Linked DNA regions of Struthio camelus. The protein of the gene in region 1 interacts with the protein of each later gene in a biochemical or structural test. Links are inferred from orthologs where the notes say so. Each region holds a gene or a part of one and is shown in the gene's direction. Other genes may lie near its edges. The genes, in order: SCN8A and FGF14.

Evidence for each region.
Region 2: the proteins of SCN8A (region 1) and FGF14 form a complex in vitro, tested with the Homo sapiens proteins (2 studies listed by BioGRID). The link is inferred for Struthio camelus from reciprocal best matches to the Homo sapiens genes SCN8A and FGF14.

Annotation. Positions count from the first base shown.
Region 1 is NC_090969.1:1,275,510-1,291,023, reverse strand, and holds the start of SCN8A (sodium channel protein type 8 subunit alpha), read left to right. Parts: upstream 1-8,981; 5' UTR 8,982-9,060; intron 9,061-13,120; 5' UTR 13,121-13,229; intron 13,230-13,511; exon of another isoform or gene 13,512-13,753; intron 13,754-15,514. Other genes in the region: TMPRSS12 (transmembrane protease serine 12), read right to left, coding at 174-258, 863-965; thiol S-methyltransferase TMT1A, read right to left, coding at 2,260-2,496, 3,418-3,921; thiol S-methyltransferase TMT1A, read right to left, coding at 6,271-6,507, 8,302-8,796. UniProt on the Homo sapiens protein: Pore-forming subunit of a voltage-gated sodium channel complex assuming opened or closed conformations in response to the voltage difference across membranes and through which sodium ions selectively pass along their electrochemical gradient.
Region 2 is NC_090942.1:162,779,025-162,794,347, forward strand, and holds the start of FGF14 (fibroblast growth factor 14), read left to right. Parts: upstream 1-9,538; 5' UTR 9,539-9,953; coding exon 9,954-10,161; intron 10,162-15,323. UniProt on the Homo sapiens protein: Probably involved in nervous system development and function.

The DNA of each region.
Region 1 (15,514 bases):
AGGTGATGCTCTATGCCCTTCTCATACTCAATAAAAAGAAGTTTTACATGAATACATACTTCCTCTGTGTAACGCAGTGGGCAGCTGAAAGTACTGAATTCTCATTAACTAAAGCTCCACCACATACATGCTTAAATTTTACACCGGCACGGTGAATTTGGAGGCTAACTAACCACGGCCACGCTCCCGCTTGAGCATCGTGTCCACCTACAATCCGAAGGCCCGAGAACGCGTCTGCGAGCGGCCGTTCTCCACACTCTGCAAAAGAGAGCAGAGGCGCTTAGGTCATTCAAACCCTGAAACGCAGCTTTAGCGGGCTGGCAGCGGGTTCTGGCTTTTTTTTTTTTTTTGGGGGGGGGGCATCTATTGTGGTATTTGGCTTTTTTTTTTTTATGTTCGCAGCTGGAGCTCTGATTCTGGAGGTCCCTTGGATTGTTTCTTATGCCATAAGATATTTATTTTTTCTGTCTGGTGGGGTGTGCGCTGTTACGTAGCTGCACGCGTGTTTATTGTACACGGCCGTGTAGGCGTTCGGGTCAGCAGCTTCCAGCCACGGTACGTGGACTCCACTGGGTTCCCGCCCCTGCTGCTTTTTTGGTATTGATCTCATTTATGCATAGGCAGAAACGTTTCCCCGCCTGTTTGTGGGTAGCCGCGGCGCGAAGCTGTGCGGCCAACGGGCCCAGCCGCCCGGCTCCCTCCACCCTCCCGCCGCCGCCATGTCGCTCGGCCGGGCGGGACCCGCCGCCGCCGCGCGGGGGCTCACGGGAATTGTAGTTCTCCCGAGCGCTTGACCCTGCCCGCTCCAGCTGTTTCGACGCCCGCTGCTTTGCCGCGCAGCGCCCAGGGACAGCGGCGGTACCTTGAGCGGACATCCACGGGGCCGGGGCCGGGGCGCGGGGCGCGGAGCCCACGAGGAGCGGCGGCAGCAGCAGCAGCGAGGCGACGGCGAGCCTCGGCCGCATCCTCCGTCGACGGCACAAAATGGCGGCCGCGCCCGTGTGGCGGGGCGCGTGACGCGCCTCGGCCGCATCCTGCGTCGACGAGCACAAAATGGCGGCCGCGCCCGTGTGGCGGGGCGCGTGACGCGCCTCGGCCGCATCCTCCGTCGACGAGCACAAAATGGCGGCCGCGTCCGTGTGGCGGGGCGCGTGACGCGCCTCGGCCGCATCCTGCGTCGACGAGCACAAAATGGCGGCCGCGCCCGTGTGGCGGGGCGTGTCACGCGCCTTGGCCACCAACAGCCGGTAGTTGGGGGGGGGCAGCACGATGGTGGCCCTGCTGCTGGCCCTGCGACCCTCCCACCTCCGCTCCAGTGCTCCGTGGCAGTGCTTTACTAACTGAGCATCTCATATCGAGCACCGGCTTGGCACGCGGGTGACGTCGGTCCTCCAACACCCCAGCGATTAACAGCACTACAGCCTGTTAACAGCAGCCAAACAGCCGCTGGCCTTGGGATGGGCGTCCTGGGAGGAGGCCAAATACCTGTTCCCCAAAAACCGTTCTCAAATACCTGCGGCTAAGCAGAGGTTGTACCTGCCCGTTCCGTAACGCTTTTTCCCCTCAGGAAAAGGGGAACAGGCTGAGCCAGCAGGACAGAGAGCGTGCTGCCGAGTCAAACAGCGCTATGGCTGCGCCGTGCCCTGCTCTGCCCGCTCTCCGGCAGCGAAAATCGGCCTGGGAGCACCTGGAGGAATCGCCTGCCGGTCAAGCAGACGCTCCCCTGCATAAGGAGTTAACGCCTTTTTTTTTTTTTCCCTGCCTCTCTACCAAAATGTTTGTGCGCTCTCCTTGCCGCTCCAGCAGGTCAGCTTTGTTTTGAAACTTAAGTTGAGCTTAGATAAGGCGAGGAGGTGTTTGAGTGTGTGTGTATGCTTCTGGCGGCTTCTCAAACAGCCCCGTACCTGGGACGGTTTTCTAGTGTTTGCGAGGCGCGGCTTGCACACTGGAGTCAATGGAAGGGTTTTATACGTGCCCAAGCAGATCTGCTTTATTTTTATGCTAACTGGAACTTCAGGATACCAGTTTCTGATGCTTTACCTCTAGAGCATGTCATCAACATATTTATTTCCATTGCAAGATTTATAGAAAGCTGAACCTCTTCCTCATTTGCCATTTACAGCCGAAACTTAGGATAACTGAAGCTTAATCGTGTTAACCTGGGTTCGGTTATTTGGATTAGCATATGCCATTTTGCTGCTTTGACTATGTCAAGGAATTTCTCTGAGGACAGGGGAGAAAGTTACAGCGCGATATGAATTACTTCACGGCATATCCAATGATATGAGACTTATTAGGCATCCAGGGTAGAGGAACGCTGATGTGTTGTAACTTCAGTTCGGAGAAGTTGGCCTGTTCTAGGTTTTTCCATATCTCTCTTGTTAGGCAACACCCAGCAAACACGAGCTTCCAAGTGGGATATAAGATCTGCTGCCAAAAATAGTTCCAGCTGGAATGATCAGCAGCCACGTGTTCTAAGAAATAGAAAGCGCCGCCCTGGGGAAGCAAAGTCATCTTAGAATACCATAGAAGGAGCGAGCACCCGGCAGACCCTTCCCTCTCTGACCCTCCTTTTCTCAAACACGATTCCATGCACGGGAAACTCGGTTTGCTCACTCTGACAGGCTCTTTCTACCCCTTTCCTGCCTGCTTTTTACTTCAGTAATGTCGATTAGAATTAATACGAGCAGGAAACTTGCAGAGATTCAGAATGCATATTCTGAAAGGATGAAAGGTGTACTTATTTGATCCCGTTGTTCTTAGAGCAATGGTTTGTTCTTTGTCTTTTTGTTTAAATTACAGTTGCTAGCGTGTCATATTTCAAAGGAAACTAGGTGAAGTGCATAAACCCTACTAGAACTCACTGGGTTTTTAACAACCCAAAGGACTGTATTGAAAATACCATTGTAAAGGCTGAAATTCTATTGCAAAAAATAGCTTTTTTTAATCCTTAGTTTGAATAGGACACTACAGGGAATGAAGGCATTTAATTAGATTGCTTTAGTCATACAGGTAGATCAGACCCTCTTCTAAGAGACTAAAGCAGTTTATTTAAAACATCGACTTTCAGCCTTGATCAGAACTTCCCCTCTTCTCCCCAAAACAAAATCTGGCGTGTGAGGGGGCAGAGACAACAACAAAGGAGCCGGTTCTGTACAGCGATGTGCTGTAATTACTTACAGAATTAGTGGCGGTTCTGTTTACTTAACACGTTACTCTTAAGGCTGAGCTAAGACAGGCTGAACAGTGTGCTGCTACTGCTTTGCACCATTTAGCATTGCAGAGTGGTTGTAAATCTGATTTCTACTATGAAAATCAATGGGGTCTGACTTGTAAGCTCAAAGGCAACTTGTTGCTCTGGTGCAGTGCCTCTGGAATGGATGATCAAAGTAATAACACAAAACTTCAAATACTCACCGGTCTGAGCACTCGCAGTACTTCTTTCAAGGTGCTGTTTATGTCCCGCACAGAGCATAGGACTAAAGTGCAAACGACTGCGTCCACAGAACCGCTGGGCACCTGGCTCAGGTCTTCTCCTGCAGCTACTAAGAAGCGCTCGTAGTGCAGGTGCTGGTTCTGGCTCATGCTTTGAGAAAGGCCTTTCTGGAAGTGAAGGTCTATATCGGTGCACGTCACTTTGCAGCCTGGTGGGTAGAACTGGAAGTTACTACCACAGCCGGTCCCGATCTCCAGCAGCTTCAGCTCTCCTGAGGGGCTTGTAAATTCGGGCAGATTACGAAATAGTTCCTGTTTTTGCCTCTTTGTTTTCCTGTTGTAAACTGCAGCAATCTTCTCGAGGATGAAAGGAAAAAATATCTTCTTACAGAAAGGCTCCCATATACCCAGGAACGATAGCAGATAGATGGGCATGGCGAGCAGCATGAAGCAGGCACGGAAGAGGAGAATGCTGGCCTCCGTCATTTCCAGCGTGGGGGCAAAGAATCTGTGCTGCGCAGACTGAGTCTGTACTGTGCTTCGTTCCTCTACGTATTAGAGCACTTGAAACTTAGAGCTGGATTTGTGTGCTTGCTGTGTTCCTCTTGAAGTGCAACTCTTTGGCCTGATAGGGTGGACTTTTCTCTAAAGCTGATTTTAAAGTCCAGTCACAGGCAAGGAAGGGAAAAACAGCACTGCTTACCAAGCAGTTACCGTAATGTCCCAGCTCAGGCAAAAAAGTTGCTGCCAGAAAAGGAGCTGCCAGGCAGTTAAGTAACCTAGATAAACTGAAAAGTACATCTTTGTATTTGACTATTGGCAACATGTCATCAGTCACCCTAACCTGGAGTTCAGCGGTTTCAGATTACAGTTTACATCTCTTAAAGAAGCCATAGCTTGTCTTCCGTGAGTGCCTGTAGGAAGTTAATCTAAACTCTGGATTTGCTGTAGATAATGAATTTTGTTTGATTAACATTTTGGTTAAAACACACACGTTTAAGGGTTATTTATGCCCTTGTTTTAGGTATCTAAAGTAGCTAGATGAGCTAGTCAGCTGCTCGCTGTGTGCTTTCTCTGCAGCAGCAGCTTTCAGTCTTTGCACTTCATGGACACCTAACATATTTTGATTTGTGGATGTGGACTCCTTTGCGGTGAATGAACTCGCTTTTCTTGGCTACCTTTCAGATCTTTGGTGGGACTCGTGGCCCAGAGATAAAACCATTTATTAATTCAGTAATCACTGTCTATGGTAGCTTGGTTTTCACTTTATAAGCTTGAGTTGACAATGTACAGTCCATTTTATGCTAAATGCTTTCTTTTAAACTTTTTTAACTTTGCTATCACCAGTGTTTTTTTTCCACAGGCTTTAGTAATAGCAGTGTAGATTAGCCACTGGCAATTAATTGCTCTGCCTAGAGGGAGCCTGGTAAAGGGACAAGGGGACCGTTTGCACCGCTCAACTTCAGATCCCGAACTCAAGCAGTTGTATTGCGAATTGCCCTGGAGGAGTTTATTTTTCTGTTGAGCGATAGGTAGCCTTGTTGTCTGCGGAGTTACCTCCTCCCTCTAGTGGTAATAAAGCAAATAAAATACCCAGCATATGGCAGCATCATTATTAGACTGCTTTATTACTAAACTCTCTTGTCATACCTTCATACCGCCACCACGTGCTGACTACATCAGAGAAACAAATCTAAACAGTGGGAATTACTTCAGATGTACTTTCTGTGTAGACCAGTTGTCTGTTTGTGGAGCACAAAACAGAGGCATTAAGTGCATTCTTTTATTAAATATCATTTGCACCAGATTTTAATTCTTAGATGCTTTACTGTGAGAAATCAAAAGGAAGGTTAAACAGTGGTCAAGATAGCAGCACCTTCTCCTGGTGTCCTGGGGAAGTTTAACTGGAAAATATTCCTAATGAAACGTGTGGCTTTAAAAAACAACAACAACAACAACAACAAAAACTTGACATCTTAAAGGTGTAATCTGGACTGAAGGGAGAGTAGAACATTAAGTTTAAGCATAGGTTTAGCTTCTTAGCAGAGCACGACAAAAGGGCTGTAAGAGCATGGCTTAGTAGAGACCATGTTACAGCTGAGATGAGGTTTCTGTCGCCTGATTTAACCAATGCCAGCTTTCTCCCAGCGTAAGGAGAAGTTCAGTTTTTTGCTTTGTAGGTTGTAAGTTAAATCTAGGCTGACAGCGTTAGCCTCTAATGGCCAGTGGAAGCTATGTATAGTGAACTGGTGCTCTAATGGGCACTTTCCTGAAATAAACAGTCCAGTAAGGGAGGACTCGACTGGCATGGGAGAATGAACGCCGGCTCCTAGTGGTGTTTTGTAATGGGAAGACTGAAAGAAAAATGCTTGTACTGATGCTATATCTATTATGTATGTGTCCTGAATCTGAAATCTTAAAGGCTGAGTAATAGTCTCTGCTATTAGAAAGATGTAAGCTCTCTCTACTTGTTTGCATAGATCTTCTGTTCCCTGTCTTCCCTCTCCTCTTTCTCAGCTCTAAGATGGTGACTCTTCCTTTATTTTGTATCGCACTGAAATGCGTTCTCTGTTTTTGTTTCCAATTTGCTTGGTCCGTGTGCCACGGCTCTGCTTGAGAGCTCCATCCAGAAAACCTGTCTAACAGATGGAAGAATGTGATTCTCAGTTTGAACGAGCTATGGATGCTCAGGAAGATTTCCATGTTTTTATTCTGATTACTTAGTTGCTGCGTATGGGTTGACTGTAAGGCTACTATTCAGTGAAAAATACTCTATAGAAAGTGTGAAAGGAGCTACTGAAGGGATGTTGTGTGCCCTGCAGCGCTCACGGTCATTCATTTTACTGCATATCCAATGATATGAGGACTAGTAGGATTCCAGTGTGGTGAGACACGTATGCGCCTCAAGTTCAGTTCTGAGAAGTTAGTTTTCTCCAGGTCCTTCTGTGTCTCCCTGCTCAAGGAACACCCATCTCCAAGACACTTCCAGACTGGGTCACAGACCTTTTGCCAAAAGTAGGTCCAACTGGAACGATCCGCAGCCACGTGCTCCACAAAGTAAAAGGCTCCACCCTATAAAACAATACCATAAAAAAAATAGAAAAAGGACTTAGGAGGTTTCACCTCTGTATGTAGAATTTTATTATTTACTTCTTAGCCAACAAGCTGCCTTTTTCCACCTCTCTGGATAGTGGCCTCCTTTCCTAGAGATTACGCGCGATGGATTCATGTTTGTTTTGAGTAGCGGAGCCTCTGTAACGACCTCCCATTCAATCTGGGTAGAAGCTAGTGGGTTTTACCTATTTGCTGATAGGTGCAGCTTATAATTCTGCAAGAGGCAGTATAGTCTGGTGGTTGGGAATTGCTGTCACAGGGTATTGAGCTCTGCCCCATCTGCCTTGGGTGACCTTGGACAAGCCACTTAACTTCCCTGTGTTTCAGTTCTTCTCATCTGTAAAATGTGAATAAACAAGTTGCTTGCCCTACATACCAGCAATTAAAAGAGTTTATTTCTTAATGTTTATAAAGCATATGAGATAGCTGTTAGCAAGCAGAAATCAAATGCCGCGGAGGGGAGAGAGAGGCTACAACTAGTATATACAGCATGTGATAGTTTGTTCTTTGTCAGCCTTACAGCCGCCCTCAGTGTTCTACCGCATCTGATTCAATGCCTTTCAGTGTTGAGATTTGCCTTTTATCTGTTGTTTATAGTATTGTGAGCAAGCCTTCTCCTAACAGTAGAGGCTGTTTAATGGATCCACGTACAGAAGGCAAAGAGTCTGAGCTGGTGTTTCCCTTCCCTTCTTAGTGGAGCGTATTGGGTGTGATCTTATTCCCTCTTCCCTAGTATCGCTTTGTAAGCGTGTGCAAGGTTACCTTGAAGAAGGAAGTAGGCTTTTAGCCCCATCCAGGGATGAAGTCTTATTGACACAGGAAGGTTCTGACCGGTTACATAGATTTAACCCAACCTATGTGGATATGAGATGCCTTAAGTTTAGTTTAAACCCTTCCCCAGTTATTCTGAGATACCTGGTGGGGGGGAAAAAAAAGTATTTTGTAGTAGGAGAGAGGTATGTAAATGTGTACGAATGTGGCGTTTTACAAGTGTCACCTTAGATTATAATGAAAATACCTGGTCAGGAGAACAAGGTCTAAAGGTGAGAGCACTTGCTAGTGAATGCGTAGGACAACTATAAACTGAAATTCTTGTTTATCTTTTATCTGAGTTAGAATTCACATCCCTTCCTGCTTCTCTCCTTTCGTGCCCTTTACTTCCACCATTTTATTGCAGCAATCGTTATTCTGTGCTGCTCTACTCCTGCTCCTCCCAGCCCCTGGGACCTCCTGGGTTTTTTGGGGTTTTTTTTTTCTTTTTTTCTCTTGAAACAGAGTTTTGGTCTTGGAGTTTTTGCAGGCTGCCCAGCTGCAAGCGCAGGAGCCAGGGTGCTCTGAGTAGCTGTCTCCCGATTGCCCCAGCAATCAGCACGGCCTTGCGGGTACTCCAGGCTTTCTGCGTGCTTGGCAGTGCGCTAGTCAGGTGCTAAGGAGAGAGCGGTAAAGCAGCATGAACTAGTTCTTCCATCCGCAGGTGAAATTACTTGCGAGTGGTACGCTGTGCAGACCAGAAGTACCACTTTGATTCTGTTGCATCTGAATGTTACAGGATACAGGATGGATGGATGCTCTCCCTTGTGATCGCAGAAGGGTCTACAGGTATTTACAGCACAGGAGAGTGTGAAGAAATTGGCAGGCCTTCTCCAAAATGCAAGATTGCAAGAGAGAAAGAAAGAGAATTTGGCAGGGGAAAGGAAACCAGAAGTGAGAGCAGGATCACTTCCCCCCCCTCCTCGCGCTGCCCCAGCTTACCAGCCTGAGCACTCGCAAAACTTCTTTCAGGACTTTGTTGACGTTGGTTACAGAGCACAACACTAAGGTGCACACCACCACATCCATGGTGCCATCCGGTATTTGATGCAGATTCTCCCCAGAAGCAACCACCGAATGTTCAAGCTGGAGGTGTGGGTTCTCCGAGAGGTTCTTGAGGAGGAACTGTCTGAAATTGGGATTAGGATCAGTGCACGTAAGCCGGCAGCCTGGTGGATAGAACTGGAAATTGGTGCCAGTGCCTGTGCCAATTTCCAACAACCTGAGCTGGCCTGAAGGGCCGGCAAATTTTCTTAAGTTGCTGAAAAGCTCTTGTTTCTGCTTGTAGACCTTATGGTTGTAGATTGGTGCAAGCTTGGCCATGATATGTGGAAAAACTTTCTTATAGAAGGAGTCCCATAAACCCATGTAGGCAAGTATGTATACAGGCAAGATGATGAGCTGAATGCATCTCTGGAGACAGGAGATGAGGACCATTGGTGCGGAGCCCCCGAGCACGGCGCGGTGTGAAAGCAGCGCCCAGCAGCCTGCACCGACAGCTCCTTCCAGCCGGTGCAGTCTCGCCAGCCCAGCGTTAACCTCTGAACCGGATGTGTCCGTCTTTCCTGGCTGGCCACGCTCCAAAATCCATCTTAAAGTGACAGTGCGTCACCGCTTCAGTTGCACAAAAGTGCTGGAAACATCTGAAAAGGGAAGGGAAATCCAGGCGTGCAGAGCATTCTTGCTTCACGTAACAGATGTGTAAGGCTATAGTTGCTGCAGACGTCAAGTTGTTTTCAATTTATTGCCTGTGAGTTGAGGATATACTTAAAGGTTGAACTGGGTGGAATCTGGATGCTCAGCTCCTGTCTGGTTTGAGCCTGGTGTCTGGGAGAAGCAACTGTTTTAACCCTCACGTGGATTTGGCCTATGGGTTTTGTTGCCTGCTGTATCATCATACCTCTGACCATCTCCTGAGCCATTGGGGTAGGGTTTGCGGCGCACTTCAGTAGTAGTCGCCTCTCCCAGTAACTTGGGAGTTTTAGACGTTAGCTCGTCTTGTAGTTGATACCGAGTTTGGTTAAGAACGCAGTACGCTTGTGTTACGGAAGAATTGCACTCAGGAGACAGTCAAAGTCTAAAAGACTGTAGCGATCTCTTTAGCTATCCACATGTAGCTACCTGCTTAAACGACATAGTCCTTCCGGCTACTGAGCTTTGTTTAGCTTTGGTTTGCTTGCATGGTGTTTGTTAAAAGCAAAGCTATACAGTTGCACGGTTGTTATTACAGAGGCAGAGGCGCCCTGCGCGCGTTGCAGACACGTATGACACGTCGCTGCCCGCAAAGCTTATGAACTGACCAGGCAATTCGGAGGTCGCTACATAAACGGGGAAGGGGAGAGGAGTGAGGGCTATAATGATGGAATAAGGAAAAGGGAGTATCCTTGTCAAGCATGAAACTGTTAGAACTGAGCAGCTGTGTGCTCCTTAAAGAGACAGCACGGTGTCAGCTCGTTATTGTTCAGATCAATAATTGCAGAGTTATCTTTTGTTCTGTCACCCAAGTCCTCTGTGTGTGTGGTGTTTTTTTTAACCCAAGGAAGGGTTTAATGGTTTTTATTTGCTTTACCATTCAGATTACAAGCCAAATTATTACCTGGCGTTATGTTATCTGCTTATATATTTATTATATTATAGCTGCTATTACATTTAGCTGCTTTTCAAGGCCATATTATTTTGGAAATATTCGTAAACTCTTGAGTGCACTCATTTTCTGAGGGCTCCCTTTCAACATGGCTTGGGACAGTGAACTAGATATTTAATAGCACAGCTGCTGTTGTGAAGATACCGAGGTTCTGAGAACTCCGTGTGCCCCAACCCTGCCTTCTCTTATGTCAAATTAGTCTGAAAGTGCTTCTATCTCAAGTACCGTATCTCCTGACTGGATGATAGTTTTTCCTGTCAAAGAAACAGAGAAAACCAGCCAGAGGAAAGGTAGGATTTATGCCGCAGCAAACATTCAGTGCAGGGATGATATTGTTACCCCAGTGAAACCAGCAGGTATTCTTTATACCTCCAGCAGGGCAGCCTGGAGTCGGAAGGAGAGCAACGATGGGGTTGGGAGGCCTGATAGCTGAACAGAGCACTGCACTGTTGTCGGCAAAGGCCAGCCATAACGGCAGCAAGAGGGTGGATGGGTGCAGTCTGCAGAAAGTATAATTCCGCTCGGGCGTTATGCTGAACTTCACGCCTCTCGTCTGCAGTAGTCTCTAGTGGGCTGTGGGGGGATCATTTAGGTCAATAAGAACCTTCTTTTTTTTTTTTTTTTTTTTTGTTATGACTGCTCAACATATGAGCATTGACCTACTTATTTCTTTAAGCAACTTGCTCAGAGATGTCTTATACAGACTGCAGTAACGTCCCTGGGGCCCTGGAACGTCCTTGAAGGATGTATTTTCGGTGTGCTGCTGGCACCCATTGGGAATGATGTGCCCACCGTATCCACTAGACCCGCGGGTGCCCTCGCTGGAAGCCAGGGTGTGCTCCTGCACGGCCGTCTGCGTGTTGATGGTCTTATCCCAGTACTGGCAGCTTTGCCCTACAGTGGGATGGGTGCAGCAGTGTACCGTCCCAAGTGTTGGCACCGTTATCTATGTAGAGAAGATATTTTTTGTTTCTTAAGTTGTATGACTTAATCTTGTTTTTTGAACACTTTAAAACTCTATATTTGGGAGATGCTATGTAAAGTCCAGTTTGGACCAAAACTTTCTCCAAATCTTTGGATTTCGGTAGCAGCTTATTTAATGTGTATATAACTGCTGTTGCTTAGTTCTGGTTTGAAATATCTTAATTTTTTCAGGTTGCATCTGCCCTTGTGTTACATTAGAGCAGTCCCATAAAAGTCAGTGCTGTACAGTGAGGGCAGATTTAGTTCCTGTGTCGTATCCAAAGCAAGATAAATGAGTTCTCAAGCGCAGTGCTGTGCCCTGCGAGGTTGTTTGCTCAGCACACGGCATGCGATGCCTGAAGCTCTGCTCAGAGGACAAGATTTAAAATCCCGTGAAGAGGGCATTCCTGCAAGGTGGATTTAAAAAAGAAAAAACAGCAACCTAATAAGAGCATTTCAGGTTGTTGTCTCAGCAGCACAGACACAGTCCTATTGAAAACAGGAATTACGTAATGATAAAAATTCATCCTAAAATTCTAATGCCAACAGTGTAAGCTATAGGTATAAAGGGGGGAGGGGAGGCGTTCCCTGTCTTCAATGAAGAAGGGTAACTTTGATCAATTATCAGGATTCTGTTATTCACTATTTCACTGGAAAAAACAGTAATCTGCTTGTATGATGGGAGTGTAGCTGAGAAGAGTAGACTTTAATCTCGTTGGTGCACTGCTGGGCATTTAGCAGCTCCGCAGGTCCCTGAGCAAACTGGCAGGCGTGGAGGAAGGATCTTTGAGGAGAAACCCAAAAAGACTTCTTTAAAATACGTCATTGCTTGGTCACTTCTCATAGGACTCCTCCCTTCTGCTCAGGATTCAGGACAAAATACAAGCGTCCATGGCCAAGAAGGCGTCCTTCTCTTGATACAGTTTCTTATCTGGGGCCACCACAGAGTACTCTGTCTTGATGCTATCCTAAAAGGCCGAGGGCTAGAAACCAAGAGCTGCAGAGCTGAAGAAACAGAACGTACTAATTATGCAGTTTATGCTAGATCTGTGCTGGCAACATGTGGGAGCTTCAGGTTCTCCCATGGAAGCAGAGTCAAGTGCAGGTTTTCACCCAAGACTGCCAGAGTTTGTGACCCGTGTGCAGTTGGAATAAGGCAAGACAGCGCCGGGATTTACTTAGCAAAAAACATTAGCATGCGTGATATCAGTGTCTTATTGATGTTTTTATTTCCTTTGTAGAATCTCATTGTTATCTGATGATCTTTGTGATTCCATAGCCAGCTGCTTTCTAACAGCAGTCTTTGAGACAAACGTAGGGGTTAAATCGATTACAGGGGTTTCATGAGCATCGAAGCCAACGATGCCTGATTTTCTGTGGATTTATGTTGCGTAGTAAACTCTAACTGGAGTTTTTTCAGGAGCATTTATAAAATGCTCCTGTATTTGCTATGCATTAATTTTCTGGTCTCTGATAATGTAGATACGGAGGCTGCAGCCTTTCCCTTGTTCACTACAATCTTAGGTGGTACTTGAAAGATTTCCCTTCTCAATGCAATTTTGTGTTTTCACAAAACTTTCTGGAACTTAGTTATCTTTGAAACTACTAATCCTCTGTTAAAACTAGTCAAAAGGTCAAAAATGCTGAGCTAGGAATATAGTTACATGCAGACGGTGTGATCTCAGAACTCAAGCGTTTTCAAACCTGTTAATCACCAAAACACTTACTAATTTGATCATAGGTTAGCGGTATGGTTGTTGGCTGTGAATTATTGAGGATGCCCTCCTTGTACAAACTCACCCATAGACATCCAAAATCACACTGATGAACGTTTTTCATAGAAAACAAAAGGGAAAACAAAGAGCTGATATTTTGCTTCATGCAATGGAAATCTTGAAGCTTGACTCATGATGGAAAGTTGCACCAGCGCGTGATGCTGATCAGAGAGGTCGCTTTTAATATCGATAAAGCGAGAACATGGAGGGTCTTTCCTGAGGAACCTGATGTCAGCTTACCAGGTGAAAGTAAAAAGGAAGATTATCTTAAAAAATAATAATAATAACGGAACCAGGTAGTAACGCGGTCGTAGCCACAATCTAATGATGTAAGCCAGTGGCGTGTGGCTGGTACAAAGACTATTCCTTTTATGCACAGTTGTTGAAACCTTTCACGTAGGACGGACCCACTCCTCGTGTGTCAGTTACGGGGCTTTTTTGCACTTCTTGCTGAAGCCTGGTCTACACGGACAGAAAGCGAGACTGAGGTGAGGCCCGGCCTAAACGAAGTTCGGGTCCGGCAGCGGCTGTTTCTGTTGGGGTCTCGCCGGCGCCCGTCGGTCGGCGGGGACCCCGGCGCCCAGCTCGGCTCCCTGCGGGGGGTCGGGGGGGGGGTCGGGGTTATTTGGCGCCCCCCCCCTCCCCTCGCCGGGGGGGACCGCGGCTGCCGCTGCGCTCGGGAGGGAAGCGGCGCCGGGGGGTTCGCTGGGTGCCGGCGCAGCGCTGCGCGCCCCGCGGGGGGGCCGGGCCGGGGCGGGGCGCTGCGCGGCGGCGGAGCCGGGGCCGGAGCCCGGGGGGGTGTGTGTGTGTGAGGGGGGGGGGGGGGTTCCGCCACGCTCCCTCTGCCGGCGCGGCCCGGAGTCATCAATGATGCAGGGGCAGGACGCGCTGCGCCGGGGGAGGCGGCGGAGGCAGCGCAGCAAGATGGCGACAACCGCAGTTCCTCCTGCAGCTCCCGCCGCGCCGCAGTCCGGCAGCGCCCCGCGGGAGACGCGCTAGCGCGGCCGCCGCAGTAAGTCCAGCCCGGCCGGGGGCCCCGACGGCTGCGCGGGGCCGCGCCGTCCTTCGCCCCCTCGGCTTTTTGGGTTTTGTTTTTTTTTTTTTTCCCTCCCTCCCCCCTCCTCCCCCATAAATCGCTCCCCCCCCCCCATCCCCGGCTCCCCTCCCCCGCGGGCGGGGGCTTTGCCGCAGAGCGGTTTCCCAGCGCCGGCGGCTCCCGAGCCGCGGAGGTCGGGCTCTTCCCCCCCACCCCCCCCAAAACCCCTCTTCCCCTAGGGGCCGCTTGCCCCCCTCTCCCGGGGGGCCCCCCCGCTTCCCCCTCCTCGCCGGGCCGCTGTCCGCATCGTGCGGCGGGAGAGGCCGGGAGCCCTCGGCATCCCTCCCACCCCGGTCCCTGCCGCGGAGCGGCCCGGCCGCCGCCCCCGAGGCTCCCCCGCCGGCCGCGGGGGGAGAAGTTGGCGGAGAGAGTTCCGCGGGGGAGCTCGGTGGGGCGGCCTCGATGCTTTAACTGACCTAGACGTGGGCGTCGAGGCTGGTGCCCTCGCTTCCTCCCGCTGCACGGATTTGGGGGAATGGGGAAGGTAGAATTTTTTTTTTTTTCCCCCCTCCCCCAGGGAAAAGGAATTGCCTGTTCACAAGTTTTTTCTATTAAAAATCTGGGTGTCTTCTTCCCCCCTTCCCCCCCCCCCTCCTTTCTGGTGCAAATTGTGCCCAGCTGACGTGGGGGTGGGGAAGCCGGAGGAGACTCCACGGCCGGAGCTGCGGCTGAGCCGAGGGGAAGTCCGAAAGTCTGCCGGGGAGGGGAGCGTGTGCGGCAGGGGCGGCTCTAAGGGGCTTGAGCTCAGCTTCTGGAGCGGGGCTGCAGGGGTGGTAGGTTTAGACGCCGCTTCCTTTCCGTGTGCGCCGCGTTGGAGGCGATTGGCTATGGGACCGCTCAGGAGTCTTACAGGTGGGGTCGTCTTTCGGGGTGCCGGTCGCGTGTCGACATGTCACCTGGCCCTTGTAACACTGCAGCAATCCGCCCCGACGGGAAGCCGTGACCCGTATGTCCTCATTTCACACCGGCAACGACTCAAACGTGAGCAGCGAGGCTGTTCCGGGAGCCTGATTGCCCCCTGCTAGAGTCCAGTGGTACCCTCGGGGGGGGGGGGGGAAGGGAAAAGCAGTACCGTTTTCTCGTTACTGATGTCCGGCCATCCGCTTCAGAGCCGCGGGTGGACGTCGGGGCCGGGCGCGGCGGGCGAGAGGCGGCGCGTCCCGGCGGTGCTGAAACGGACAGCGGCGGCCGGCGGGGCCGGGCCGGGCCGGGCCGGCGGCGCCTGGCCCCGTTGCGATCCCCCTGCCCGGTTAGGTAACCGGCTCTGGGCAGGGAAATACCCAGCTCGAGGTCCGGTTCGTAATTCTGGATCGCTCAGCGGAAGGAGCGTCCTGTGAACATTGGCTGAGCCGAGGTGGGAGAGCTAGGTTTGCGACGAGGAGACAGAGAGAGAGCGCGATTGCGTGGCGCAAGAAATGCGGCATGGGTGTTTTGTTTTAGTTTTCGGTTAGAGGGGGAGAACTAGGGACTAAATCAGCACTGAGTGAAAAGAGCAGAGCTCGAAATTCTAAAACACGTTGTCATCTTCTTCCCCCTTCTAGTTGCTGTGTCTGCGTTCTTTTGTGGGTTTGTTTAGCTTGCTTTTTGATTAAAATGAACCGATAGGGCTTTTCTTTACCTATCAGTTGATGCTCACTATTTTTCAATGGCTCGAGAAGCGGTCGGCACCAGAGGCCG
Region 2 (15,323 bases), on another chromosome or scaffold:
TCCTCAGGTTCAGATGGAGCTGCCTGTGGTTCAGGTTGTGCCTGTTGCCTCTTGTCCTGTCACTGGGCACCACGGAGAAGAGACCGGCCTCATCCTCTTGACACCCTCCCTTCAGATACTTGTACATGTTGATCAGATCTCCTCTCAGTCTTCTCGTCTCCAGACTGAACAGGCCCAGCTCTCGCAGCCTTTCTTCACAGGAGAGATGCTCCAGTCCCCTCATCATCTTGGTAGCCCTCCGCTGGACTCTCTCCAGGAGTGCCATGTCTCTCTTGTCCTGGGGAGCCCAGAAGTGGACACAGCACTCCAGGTGAGGCCTCCCCAGGGCTGAGGAGAGGGGCAGGATCACCTCCCTCCACCTGCTGGCAACACTCTTCCTCATGCATCCCAGGATACCATTGGCCTTCTTGGCCACAAGGGCACACTGCTGGCTCATGCTTAACTTGTTGTCCACCAGGACTCCCAGGTCCTTCTCGGCAGAGCTGCTTTCCAGCAGGTCAACCCCCAGCCTGTCCTGGTGCATGGGGTCATTCCTCCCTAGGTGCAGGACCCCACACTTCCCTTTGTTGAACTTCCTGAGGTTCCTCTCCAGCCTCTCCAGGTCCCACTGAATGGCAGCACAGCCTTCTGGTGTGTCAGCCACTCCTCCCAGTTTGCACTCGCTGAGGGTGCCCTCTGTGCCTTCATCCTGGTCATCGATGAACACATTGAACAAGACTGGACCCAGTACTGACCCCTGGTGGACACCGCTAGCTACAGGCCTCCAACTAGACTGCACCACAGACCACAACCCTCTGAGTTCTGCCACCTAGCCAGTTCTTAATCCACCTCACCGTCCGCTCATCCAGCCCACACTTCCTGAGTTTACCTAGGAGGATGTGATGGGAGACAGTGTCAAAAGCCTTGCTGAAGTCCAGGTAGACCACAACCACTGCTCTCCCCTCATCTACCCAGCCAGTCATTCCATCATGGAAGACTATGAGATTTGGTCAAGCATGATTTCCCTTTGGTGAATGCATGCTGACTACTCCTGATCACCTTCTTGTCCTCCACATGCTTAGTGATGGCATCCAGGATGAGCTGTTCCATCACCTTTGCAGGGATGGAGGTGAACCTCACAGGCCTGTAATTTCCTGGCTCCTCCTTCTTGCCCTTTTGGAAGACTGAAGTGACATCTGCTTTCTTCCAGTCCTCAGGCACCTCTCCTGATCTCCAGGACCTTTCAAAGATGATGGAGAGTGGCCTAGCAATAACATCCAGCAGTTCCATCAGCACTTGTGGGTGCATCCCATTGGAGTCCATGGATTTGTGGATGTCAAGTTCGGACAAATGATCTCTAACTCGATCCTCCTCCACCAAGGGAGAGTCTTCCTTTCTCCAGACTTTCTCTTTTGTCCACAGAGTCTGGAATTCCTGAGGACTGGCCTTAGCAGAAAAGACTGAAGCAAAGAAGGAAGTCAATATCTCTGCCTTCTCTGTGTCCTTCATTACCAGGGCACCCGCCCCATTCAGCAGCAGGCCCACATTTTCCCTCGTCTTCCTTTTGCTATTGATGTATTGGAAGAAGCCCTTCTTGCTGTCTTTGACATCCCTTGCCAGATTTAATTCCAAAGGGGCCTTAGCCTTCCTTGTCGCATCCCTGCACACTCTGACAACGTCCCTATATTCCTCCCAAGTGGCCTGTCCCCTTGTCCACATTCTGTGTATTTCCTTCTGCTGTTGGAGTTTTGCCAGGAGTTCCTTGCTCATCCATGCAGGTCTCCTGCCTGCTTTGCTGGACTTCTTACTCAGAGGGATGCACTGATCTTGAGCCTGCAGGAGGTGACGCTTGAATATTAATCAGCTCTCCTGGACCCCTCTTCCTTCTAGGGCCCTACCCCATGAGATTCCTCCAAGTAGTTCTCTGAAAAGGCCAAAGTTAGCTCTCCTGAAGTCCAGGGCTGCGATCCTGCTTATTGCCCTGCTTCCTCCTCGTAGGATCCTGAACTCCACCATCTCATGGTCGCTGCAGCCAAGGCAGTGAGATGTTTCCTATATCAGGCTAAACCAAATAGGTGCGTGTTGACTTCTACCTGCAGCTGTTTCTTAGTTACCTATTTGAAGCGTACTGTTTATTCTATGACAGGTTGATATAGCTGGCTGAGCTAGATGCATAAACTATCCAGCCAAGTTTGGAAAATAATTTATTCCAGAGAAAATACACGTACTCGGTTCATGCTTTGAATGGTTTGGATTCTATTCCTTCAAGGCCCTCTGACTTCCTCCTGTGTATAATGATCCTTGTTTCAGGGAATATATGTGTTGACATGAAAATTCTGCAGATTAAAGAAAAGAGTCATTTGTGTCCAGCAGGTACTGCAACATGTTTGCAAATTCCCCTGCTCTGCCTGGATGGATAATGCCTTTCTGCTGTTCTTTGGTGATCACTCCTAATGTTCACAGTGCTGCATTGTTTACGCATTTCACTGCTGTTCGCCTAAATAGCCTGACAGCCCACTGCACCACCTTTTGTGCCCATGGCTTTAATTGGTGCAGCTGCTGCCTTAGGGTGCTCTGCTAAATGGCGCCAAGGCAAATATAAACTGTCTGCAAACATGTGTTCAGGCTTGTCAGCACTGTACTTCTCTTTATCTTGTCAGGAGCTGAGTCTTTGCTTTCTGTATCAATTACATTCTCATTTAGATCAACATATATTTTATCCTTCCTTCTTGTATCGTATCATGAAGTATAAGATATCATGCTTTATTTATACCTTCATCAGCAGCTGCCGGTTATCTACTGCAAGCATCTTGCAGATACATTGTTACTCCTATTGCTCAGGTCAGTGACAAAACACGACACTATCTTCTTTCTCTAATAATTTGATTTCTTCACATCTTTCAAATGCAATAAATATAAGCTGAGACACAAACATAAAAGCCTTTCAGAAGCTCCACTGAAGCAGAATTATTTTGTTCCTCTTAAACCACTTGAAGCATTTTGCTGTCCTTTACTGACACAATTTTTAATTTAGCCACAAGAGTTCTAACACAAATGTTTTGCCCTTTAAGAACTGTAAGTTTCACTAGTTAGTCTTCATAGCAATTACAGGTATCTGAAATTAAATCAAGCAACTACAGATGCCATACCTTTGTATTACCTAAACAACCTAGGCTAAGCTATTTTTAAATCTCTCCTCTGTCCTAAAATCTGCAGTATTTGCTTAGAATCAAAGCTAATTGCTCCTTCAGTGCCACTGCCCTTAAATCCTTGAGACATTCCTTCTCAAAAAAATGGCCTTCATTTTTTTTTATATTTCTCAGATTGCTACTCTTTGCCCCATAGTACGTGCTCTTGCACTTTATGAAACTTCTATTATTGAAGGTAAGGAAAAGAGGCACAATCTGCATTTGCAAGCAGTGCTGGAACCAGGTCTATTTAAAAATGAATGCCTTCTGCTCTAGTACCCATAGCTGCATTTTTTTTTCACAATGATCTCACGCTTACTACAAATTATGGTCTTTGCAATGACTGACTTGTGCTTCCATAGAGCAAAACACGTCAGTATTAGGCTACTAATTTAATAAAGGATGTTGTCTAGACCCATGTCATAACTAGACTGTTTTACAGATATTTGTATGTTGCGTAGTGGCCAGGGCTCTCCGAAGTCTCGGTTAGCTGAGCCAGGCTTTGTGCTGAAGCCCGGCAGGAGCCGGTACCTGGGCACTTCCCACCAGCACAGCCGGGAGATGGCTGCAGGTGCAAAAGTTCAGTCTGTGAATCCCTCACCTGTCACTAGTCCCTAGCCCCTGCCAAGTGTCTTAAAGGCAGTTGCTGCCTTCTGATTGATTTGGTTAGGTAGAAGTAAATTAGGCTGTAGCTACCTGATCAGGCACATCTGTCACAAATCTGATGCAGAGAATTTTGATAGGCTTCCTGAAGACAAAACCTATGTGGGAGCCTACACTGATTCCTCCTGCATCCTATGTCTTGCCACTTGCTGGACCCTCTGCTCTGCTGGAGCGTGTGTTTAGTCTCTCACTTGGAAGAAGCGGACTTTATACACACCCCAAAGGACTGATACATGGTTATGTTCATTGGACTTCATATGTGACAAGGGAGATATTCACACAGTTAAGGCACTCAGGAACATTTCAGTGCCTCTATGAACATCTCTCATTATGCTTTCTACAGACTGTTGAATGAGTTCAATATTGTCTAGCACAGGAAAATATTTGAGCTGTCTCAGTTTGGCTGTTTCTTCCACATTAATTTTTTTTTATTCTTTCCTGCAAAGGAAGACTTAGTCCAGAAACAGTCTTTGTGTTTTGCAGAGGCCAGCATCCTGAGGTCTTGATCCACGACTAAAGCTCTTTGGCATTACTACAGTAATAATAACAAATTGTTCAGTAAACTGATCTTGGCACCTCCCTGCAAAGCATTTCATTGTGCTTCCAGTCCAAAAAGAGTAACAGAACAGGGTTTCCGAGTGTTAGAACGTTTTTATAACACAGTCCGCATCATTCTCACATCCCTCCCACCACCCGGTTATTCGCTCATGAAAGCTTACTATGCTGTATGGAGACAGCTGGATTCCTCCCACAATTGCTCCTCCCAAACAGCAGGACCTATTTAGGCCCCTACTGAGGAGGCAGCTCAAGGGCCCTTTTCCTCCCGTTTGACTAGGTCCTTCTTTCCCATACATGCAATGCTGCTATGGAATAGCAGGCTGTAAGTAGGACACAGATTATGGGGGTCTCTACTTATGTGTATGAAAACATCCCCTTGCTTTAGCAATCTAAAATAATCCCAGGACCTCCATACATGCACCAGTACAGGGCACCCGTGCACCACTAGTTAAGGGCACTATTCCTGTTAGTTGCTGCAGGAACGCCCTGCAGCTCTTTCATCTCCTCAGAACAACAGGGAAATCCTGATATTCTACTGATATTCTACCTCTTTTTGAATATACCTAATTAGGGATTTGGCTAGCATCTGCTTGTGGGGAGTTTATAGGGTACTATTTCTTGTCTAGTCCACCTTCACTCTCAGAGCTATTCAGGACTCATGCCTACCTCTCATTCCCTCCCTTCCTTTTTCAGATGAGAAATGTGATCCTTATAGTCCTACAGAAACTGGCACTGGACTGGAATGAGTGGATCAGCACGTTCTGACCTGTAAAATCATCCCATGTTCCAACTCACCCCTTTCATCTTCTCTGGGTGTGTGCCCGTATGCTGAATCACTGGAGAATGGCAAGTCCTCTCTCTCCCATTTCCTACGAGGAGCAAGGTGAAACTTCCAAAAGGCTAGATACCTTTATCTCCATTGCTATTGATACACTTGTATTTCTTTCTGATGTTTCTTCCATGGAATAGTCCAAAAATCAATCAACAAATATGATGAAGAATTGAGCCTAATCTACAGCTCCAGACACTACTCCCAGCATAGAAGAGGAAGAGGAGGATTTCAGACCTAGCTGCCTCTTAGAGTGACAATAGCCTACAGCTGTAAACACGCAGTTAGTGATCCAACTTGTGGATAAGACACCTAAACTTAAGAATCTGCACGTAATTGTCAACCTGCGAGCTGAGTATCTAGGCTCCATTGTAATCAATAGGGATGTAGAGACTGTTCAATCGCCCATGCATCTCTCGTTTGAGATGCTCCAGGATACACTCCATGGCCTCCGCCTGCAGCTACAGAAGGGCTTGGGTCTCTGACAGGTTTAGTATCATAGCTGCCATGCCTTATGCAGCAAGATATCCTAGGGAGTCTCAAATGGCTTTAGATATCTAAGTTTCAGCAGCAGTTTCAAGATCTCCATGGAATATAAATGTCACAGGTAGACATCTAAACGTAGGTGTCTTATTCTGTCAGGCAAAGCTCACCCTTAATCATTAAATGATAGCTACAGATCTTTCACTTTCTAGACTATATGGGAATTACACACTCTATATTTTAGAAGACACACGAGTTCACAGTTACATGTAAACAGTTAATCTTGTCTAACTTACTGTTGTAACCAATGCACACAGAAACTTCAGGCTGAGGGGGATATTCTGTGCTCAGTCTTACTGACTAATATGCAAGCTGGCTGTACGGTAGGTGTGCTTTGACAGCTGGGGAAAACTGTCTCTCTATTTTCAAAGGACTTCCAGAACAAGGTTTTAGTTAATTTTTCTTGCATAAAATGGAGTCCTCTGTCACCACCTCCCCATGAAATAGGTTAGCTGGTATTTGGGTCTCCTCCACCACCATCACCCTGGCCTCCCAAATGGCGTCTCTAAGTAGGGACTGCTTTTCTCTGACCCAGATGACAGGAACTCTTGGTAATATGCTGTATTCACTACAAGAAAGGGGACTCTCTCCTGAAACCTGCGATCAGAAGTCTTCTTGGTAGTGACTGAGTAACCACAATATATCACTGGTGCTTTCTCTTTTTCCCCCACATGGGAACCTGAAATTCTTGCGGAAGGAGCTGACCAAATATCACCTGTTGATTCTTCATTTCTCTTGACCTGAAAGGACTATATAGATGACATTTTCTTCCCATCTTCGTAACAGGTCTCCCCATCTTTAACATGTGTTATCCCCTTTCAAGTAAATTCTTCTTATTCCATGATCCAAAAAGAGATGGGAGCACTTGAGGAGATGTTTTCTTCTTTTTTTGAGGTCTTTTTTTGATTTGATCATTTGCACATTGTACAAAATAAAGTATGAAATTTATTTTTGCTCATGAATCTTCCTACTGTGACAAAATGCTTACACCTAGTTGCGTGTCACTTAATGATAGACCATTTACAGATTAATTAAAGTCTTGAAAAGGATAATTTATACTTAGGCTAAATAGGTCTAAGTATATATTTTAGGCTCTTTAATGTTGTTATACATATTTCACCAGAGAAGAAAAGACTTGCTCCATTTATTCACATTAGGTCAACTCTTATTTCTAAAGGCTAATCTTTCCATAACTTTGAGTTTGCATGAAGAGGTATTCTGAACAAACTCTTGCCCTTGCTCAGCTATTCCCCTGCAGGCTTGCCTTGTTTTGGGGACCTGCTCAAAGCGTGTTACCAGACAGGCTCAAATAGGCAGGGCTCCAAACATATTACCAGGTATATAAGGTGAATGTTAGTCTTCTCAGTAGAGATATGCAGTTTCTGCTCCTGTTCTAACTCCAGTAAACCTTAAATCATATACTACCGTCAGAATCATCCCCTTTTGTTCTGTAGCCACAATCCCTGACCTCTGAATGATGATGAGCGGTTAAGAAGTTTTACTTTCATTTAAAAAGTAGAGAGCTACATGCTAGCTTTGAGGGAGGTATATAAACCAATTATTGGGGTGGAAAGCTTGTCAGTGACTTTTTGTTTAGTACAGAACACAGATTGTTTCTGGCTATATAATGCTGGCTGTTTTGGTCAAGGAAAGATAGAAGGAGATCTCTGATATTTTGGGAAGACTTTAGATCAATTTTATGTTTGTAGGGAGCAGTGACATATGAGCAGCCACGAATAGCACTAGGGCTGCTGCGAACTCCCAGCCAGCTGGCTGCAGGTGGCTGAGCCAGCTCTTCTTCTGAGCAGCCTGTGCAACTTCTGGACACCAGGAAGGACAGTTTAGTAGCTCAACAGGCAGCACAACCAAGGGGACAGGAAAAGGGACCAAGCACAACATTGATTTCTTCTGTGACTCATTTCTAACCTTTCTTAAATTTTCTTGCTCAAGTTTTGTTTGTTTTTCTTTTTCCAAGCTTGGGTGCCTAGAGGTAGACACCTACCCCATACACATAATATACTGCAAACTCCATAAACCACTTCTCACAATATAGCCCTTCATTTCTGTGCATCGTTCTTTATCTCCAGAAAATAGGATAATGATGTTCATATATCACATAGACAGAGATTTGGCAGCCAAGCTGTTAATCTGCATGTACAAATATCAAATCTCATTGGAATCAACACAAAACTATGGTGAATTTTTCAGTTTCCAGCACTTCTGTTAGTGTGCTGGCTAAATATTAACTGCGAGGGTTTCCCAAATGGTGTAACCAGAGAGATATCCTCACCAGGGAGGAAGAGGCCACCCTCACCCTGCATTTTTCCTGCTTTAGCCTTACACTTCTTGGAGCAGCGGCAGCTTCCGTCGCTTCAGGAGAAAACACTAACTTCTGACTGTGCCCGAAGGAATGTAAATGTGAATAGAAATGTCATAGGTGGCAACAGTGTTGAGATACTTCAAATTTTTAACTTGTTACTGAGAAAAGTCAATGAGGAAAGGCTGGAACTTTCTCCAGAGAGATAAAAAGAGGATGTAGAAGACCTTGGCATCGGGAGGCAGAGCAGGAGAGGAAAGAAAGCTATTCCCTATCCCATTTCTATTACCTCAGTTTTCTGCTTCCACCTCCTTTTCAGCTACTCCTTCCGACTGCTACCTCATCTTCTTTTCCCTCATTTATTCATGCTCTGTCCCATCACTTCCAAACCCTTCCAGTATCTGCACAGTCCAGCAGAGCATCGCAAGGGGGAAGGAGGAAGGCGGGCATCAGCCTCCAGCTGTGCCACCACTGCCAAACACCAGTGCAAGCGCATGGCTCCAGGACTGGCTCTGTGCTACTCAGCCTGGACGGTGCAGCCACAGAGGCCGTGCGGTAGCCGGCCGGGGAGGGCAGGGGAGAGAGCCACACTGCCTGCGTGGGACTGTGCAGAGCAGAGTGTGGCAGAGCTCAGGAGCTGCCCTGTCTGCCTTTGGACATCCCAACCCAGCTGAGCAGCACAGGCTGTTCTGTGATGGCCTTGTTGGGTATTTGCAGTGTGTGGGAAGCCCTGTTGTGCTGAATCCCGGAACGTGATGTACCACGCTAACATAAACTAGATAGTGTCTGCCCTAATCCGGGGCATACCAAAATCATGCCGAAACACTTTTTAGGTAGGAAGCCAGTAGGGACAGCGCCTGGGAGCACACACGTTCAGGTTGATTTGTAACGGCCCTGTGGGCCGCTCGTCTCCTTCGAGCCCGCGGTACGAGCAAGCCGGCCGGACACGAGCGGGTCCGGGGGAGGAGAGGCGCCGAGAGGGGAAGGAGGGCAGCTCCGAGCAGGCCGCGGGGCAGCGGCGGGGTGGCGGGCGGCCGGGAGCGGGTGCGGCGGCGCCGCCTGCCCGGGGCGGCGCGGAGGGCAAGAGGGGGACCCTGCGCTTCGCTCCGCGCCGCTCCGCGCCGGGCCGCACGTGGGTACGTGACGGCGGGCCGGGCCGGCGGGGCAGCGCCGGCTCCTCCTCCCCCGGCGCCCGCCGGCGACTGGGCGCCGAGGCTGCGGCGGGCGGCGCAGCGCGGCGCGGCGCGGTGCGGGGAGGGGAGGGGAGGGGGGGGTTGGTGGCTGCCTCCTGCGCGGCGCGGCGCGGTGCGGGGCGCAGCGGCAGCCGGGGCCGGGAGGGGAGGCGAGCGGCCCGCGCGGGCGAGGGCGGGCGGCGTCGCGGGGGGCGGCGGGGACTGCAGGGCAGCGGCGGGGGCTGCGGGCGGGGTCCGCGCCCGCGGCCGGCAGCGGTCTCTGCGCCTCAGCCGCGCTTCGGCGGGGTGCTGGTGGTGCGCTCTGCCGCCTCGGGGCTGCACAATGGCAGTCGTGCAGTAGGATGGATCCTGCCGTGGCTTTTGTTCTGCAGATCCACCCATCCTCCTAGCAGTCCAGTACCAGGCTATGGTTTTCTCTTTGGGGATCTTCGGGTGTTTTGCCGGTGTCTCTGATGAGGTTTTGGCCTCGGCTGGGATTTCACTACCTTACTTTTCGTTTGGCTTCATGCTGAAAAAGGGATTTTTTTTCCCTCTCTCCACGCTTTTGGTTCTAATCCAATGTTGATCTAGGGGGAATAACCATTCAGCCTGGCTGAAAAAAGCATCCATTGAAAAAGTCTCAAAGAAATATACCACGTGAGGAAAAAAAACTGGGAGAAGATCGGAATATAATCATTTTTTCTATGATAAAACTGGTGCCCCTCTTCAGGAGAACTGGTCTCAATTTATTATTATGCAACCACAAGGATCTCTTCTTTCTCAGGGTGTATAAGCTGCTGGATTGCTTTTCGCCCAAATCAATGTGGTTTCTTTGGAACATTTTCAGCAAAGGATCGCATATGCTGCAGTGTCTTTGTGGCAAGAGTCTTAAGAAAAACAAGAACCAAACTGGTAAGCAATCCATTGCATTGCGTTGTTTTTCTTTTATGCTACCCTGTCTGTTGCTCGCCGAGGTAGATCTGCAATCCTGCTGTGGGGAGAAGGGGGAAATATAACGAGGCCAGCACGAACATGCATGTGCATACGTGTATGAATAAGCAAGGAGCAGTCTGGATTAGCTTCGGCCACTGTCACCACGGGGGAAAAAAAAAAAACAAAAAACAAAAATTCAAGGCGACCCCAGGCCAGTCTGTATCTCCTAGTTTGTATGTGCTATTTCCAAGGAGGAAACTTTTATACCGCTGCCCTTTTGAAGGGCTGTGCTCAGCCCACCCTCTGCCGTCCCTGATCCGACCCCTCCATGCACACCCCCAGAGGGGCAGTCAGTTTTGGGAAGAGGAGCCCGGCTCTCCTGTGCTCGCGTGAGCCGGCCCTGCCTGCGGTGGGTGACCGTGCCGGGGCGCCGGTCCTGCACAACACTTTCTGATTAGCTTGCAAAATATTTGCCCCCCCTCCCCAAAACACACACTTCGTTCGGCTTTCTGAAGTCAAGCCCGACACCCCCCGGCCCGGGGCTCCCCATTAGCACTCACGCCCCCATGGCTCTAGGTCGGGAGAGTGGAGGGGGTTGAGGAAAGGGGGTGGACACCTTCCTGCGTGTCCTAGACGGCAACTAAACTACATTTTGCCAAGCAGCTCCAGCAGCACCACCTGGGTGGCTGCATGTCCCCCGCCTCTCCCTGGCGGGATGACCCCTCTGTGCACACACTGGTGTCTGTGTGAACGTCTCCATGTCTGCCTTATGGCGGGGGGGGGGGGGTGGTGGAAATCATGCGCTTCGGTTCAACCCGGCTCCAAGGGGGAAACTTGCAGTACATTACATAAGAAATGCAAATGCAGGTGCTTTGGGCCGCCCGGTCCCCGGGGGTCAGGCCGCTGCTGTTGCTTCCCTCTTGCTCTGGGCGCCGGTGCGGCCAAGCCCGCGGCTGGCGAGCGAGGTGCCAGCCGGGGAAGCGGTGCTCTCCGGGCGTGCGAGCCGGGAGCTTTTCAAGGAAATACCGGCCATCCCCGCCCCCTCACACCGGGTTTTGGTCGTCGTCCCCCACTCTCCCCTCCTCCGGCCGTGCTCGCTTCCCTCCTCCCCCCTCCCGCGGGCCGGCAGGTTGTCCGCAAGCACTTGGGTGCTTGGGGAGGCGAGTGCTGCCGGAGCCCGAGCTGTGTGGGGAGGGATGCTCGGTGCGTGTGTGTGTGTGTGTGCGTGTGTGTGTGCCGGCTGCCCTGCAGTGGCAGCTCCCGAGCAGGAGGCTCCTGACGCTGGCACTGCAGTGTAGTAGATCATAGGCTCTCGTTGCCTCTCTGACACCCCAACATCAACAAGCAGCAGCTCTGGCCGCCCGCGCCCCTCTTCCCCCACCCTGGGCAGCCGGCTTGCTGCTTTTCCCAGCTCAGGGCCGGTGCAAAGAGTGGAGGTGGACATCTCGGCGGATTTTTTTTGTTCCCCCCCCCCCCCCCCCCCCCGCTGCCATTTGCCAGCTCGGCTCGCTCCTTTCCTCCCCATCGCTGCCGCTGCAGCACAGAGCAGCCACTTCTCGGCATACCAAAGAGACCGAAATGCCCCCGCTGGAGGCTGGGCAGCGGCCGCAGCGCTCAACCTCCCGCTGAGTACTCCCTTTGCGCTGCAGCAAGGCGGCCACCCCCGCTTAGGGGGCAGCTTGCAAACCGTGTGTCACCCCGCGGCGGAGTGGGCCAGGCAGGGACAGGGCAAGCTGCCAGCTTCTCGCACCCACCGCCTGGGGGTGGCCCCTCTGCCCCCCGCCCGGGCAGGGTGTTCAGCGGCCGCCGCGACGGTGCCCCCCAGCAGGGGCTGGTGGCCAGGGCTGGTTTCTAGACCTTTCAGTCCGCATCCCGCTGGTGGAGAGGCGTAACAACCCCCCCCCCCAAACACACACAGACACACGCCCCCCGGCCACACCGCTGCCGCCGTGCCCTTTCCCCCGGGGGGGAGGGGGGGGCTGCCAGCACAGAGCAGCACCGCAAGCCGAAACCCCACGATTTCGGAGGGGTGGCTCGGGGGAGGTTGCTTGGGGGGCGGGGGGCAGCGATCTCAAAGCCCCGTAGCACACCTCTTCCCCTGCCCAGGGAGCTTGCCCCCCTCGGCAAGGGATGAGCGGCCAGCACCTCCCACCACCGGGCCCGGGCGAGGTTGAGCCCGTCGGGGCCGGCAGCCGGGCTGGCGGGGCGCTGGCTGGGAGCCCCTGGCCACCGAGGGTGCGAGCAGGCAGCGGTCTGTGTGCCTCGGGCGTGAGGGGTGCCGGGCACAGCTTACCCACCCTCTGCTCTCATCCGACGTGACTCCGGCGAAGGGGAGAGGAAACAAGACCAGACCGTATGCCTAATGCTAAAATCCCTTTCCAGAGTAGCATTAAACAATGATTAACTATTTGGAAAGGCTCATAAGCACTAATCTTCTTGACTGGATTAGTTGATATTCCGATAATCAGCGCTCTTGCTCGAGGGCAAAAGATGCCCTTCCTTCTTGCTCATATTTCCCCCTCCTGCAACGCAGCAGCGGGCTGGTGTCGTGTCACCCTCCCTCGCAGCCATCCCGGGGCCACAGCAGCGGTCTGCGCCCCGCTTTTGCGAGGGCAGCCCTGGGCCTGGGTCCAGCACCCCACACTGCCCCTGCCCTGGTTTCTCCGCAAAACTTCTGGAGAGCAGGTGGGTCTTTTGCTTTCAGAAGGTGCCACATGAACGAGCGGCTGCTGCTCATCTCACCGTGCGGAGAATCAGGCAGGTTAGGCAGCTAACGGTGTCTGTTTTTTTCAATTTAGCTAGCTATTCTTGGCCTGATGCACTTTTCTTTTTGTTCCTTTCAATAGTTGGTCTTTTTCCAGAAATGGGACTGGGTGGCTTGTTTCCAGGTAGTCTTTGCTTTGCATTTCCTGCCTGCCGCTGGCTGCAACCCTCTCATTTGTGCTCACCTCCTCCCGGGGCTCTCTTGCCATCCCCGGGGGCCTCCGGGTGGCCCTGCTGGGGCTACTGGCACAAAGCAGGGTCAGAGCAAGGGGCGAACAGGGCAAGGAAGGATGTGGAGTCCAGTGGGAGTTGTGCAAATCACTGGCAGTGTTGCGTCAGGAAGCTTTAGTTTATCCATCATAGACATGCAGGAGGCTGAAAACCCTTTCTATTTCAAATCCGGGATCCTGGAAAGAGCTGTCATTGATTGCTAAAATTATTTACCTATGTTATATTTCTTCACAAGGGGAAAAACTCTGACAATCAGTAAGTGTGGTTTTGCTTGCACTGATGGGATTTTTTTGAATTTTCCTGAGTCTAATAATGCAAGAAGAAACAATGCTCCCCGTATCTTCAGCATCTTGTCCAGCATGAAAATATTTACAATGTGTTAGGTTCCCTTGGCTTTGCTTGCTGTATGTAATCATTTCCACTTAACTCTGCCATTCTGGCGAGGCGTACAGGTGGAAAGGATTTTACAAAGTGTGAGAGAAAGGAGTCTCACAGAGAGTTAAAAGTTGCTTGAGCCCATAAGGCCTGAACCAGGGCCTGTAATGGTAAGATACCATCCTGGTGGCTTCCCACTGAGGGTCTAAACTGAGTATGTTCAGTTAGGGAAGGGCTAAGTAAGGGGGAGGATTTTAGCCTTGAGGAGAAATGGGGAAGGAGAGTAACTCTTAAGTATTTTTTGAAGCAAGTACAGGAAGTGACTAAAATTTTTCACCAAATGACAGCTGTTAGGTTGCCCATGGGAAATGAGTGAGTTGGCCAGAGGGCTAGATGCCCCCGTGGCTGGAATTGCTATCGCATTTCACTCGTGGTGGCAGCCCAGCAGTCAGAGGATGTATCACATTTCCCTCTCCATTTACCTCCAAGGAGAGGCATCTCTCCAACCTAGTCAAGGCTGTTGACAGGAGTGTAGATGGAAATTGGCATTACTATAAATATGTTGCTGACAGAGGAATTTAGCTTCTGTTAGTATCAATCCCATATCAATCTCAAGCACAAAATCTTTTTAAAAAGGACATCTGAAATGAGGACTGTGTCTAAACGGGGCTTGGTGTATAATCCCTTTTTAAACTCCTTCCTCATACAATAGTCAGACTGCTCTTTAATGGTTACTTATCATTCAAAAGAAGTTTCTAAGCATAGCCATGTGAGAATAGATCTGTTTAAAGCAGAGGCTTTGATCCTGTTGTAAGATACATATTGTGTAGCATTATTTGAATTCTAAGTAAGTTGGGGTCACCCGCTGCATTCCTTGCTCCTGGAAAACAAACCTCCCACCAAAAGACAAAAGACGTTTTGCCTAAGTAACAGCTGCAGGATTGGGTCCTTGAAGTTTCTTTCACGTAGGTCTGAAAAGCAGCTCCAACTGCTTAAATACCTACACTGTTATTAGAGGCACCACGTATTTCTCTCTGACAGCACTCAAATGTAAAATGGCCTATTTACATGTATCTCACCTACTGAAGTTTTGTCCTCAATGGAATACATTTCCTGAATTCATACAAATTTAATTATTCCTGATCAAACTAAATTGCATATTATACTTGTTAAGGGGTGAAATTTATGCCTGCTCATGAATCTCCCTACTGTGATAAAATGCTTACACCTAGTTCAATGTCAGCTAATGACAGGCCATTTATAAATGAATTCAAATATACAAAAGATATCTTAGGCTGAGGGAAAATATGCAAAGTGTATTTATAGATATCATTGGTTTAAATATTTATATTTATGCAATTTTCATCTGAAAGTGATATTTATTCTACTTGCCTACTTGTTAAGTGTATCAATTTTGAGGTAAGCTTCCACTGACTTCAAATCTAAGTAAGGAGTTAGAGGCTCAGAACTTGACCCTTTGTGGAGATTTTCTGTCTGGTAAATGTATCTGTCAAAATATAATCTGGAAAAGGGGGAGCTGTTTGGAAATCAGTTTTTCAGAAGGCCTTCATAAACTCAAAGAAATAAAAAGCAGTATGTTCCACCAATCTGTGATGGTGTCTTGTAGTTTGTGGCGTTGCTATTTTAAGGTTTTTGTATAATTACTCTGTTTTTTTGGGGGGGTATAATTATTCAACATGTAGAGTGAAATGCTGCAAGTTCAGAATGTGGTTGGGTAAACAAAGTGGCTGTGTGCAAATTAAACTATGCTG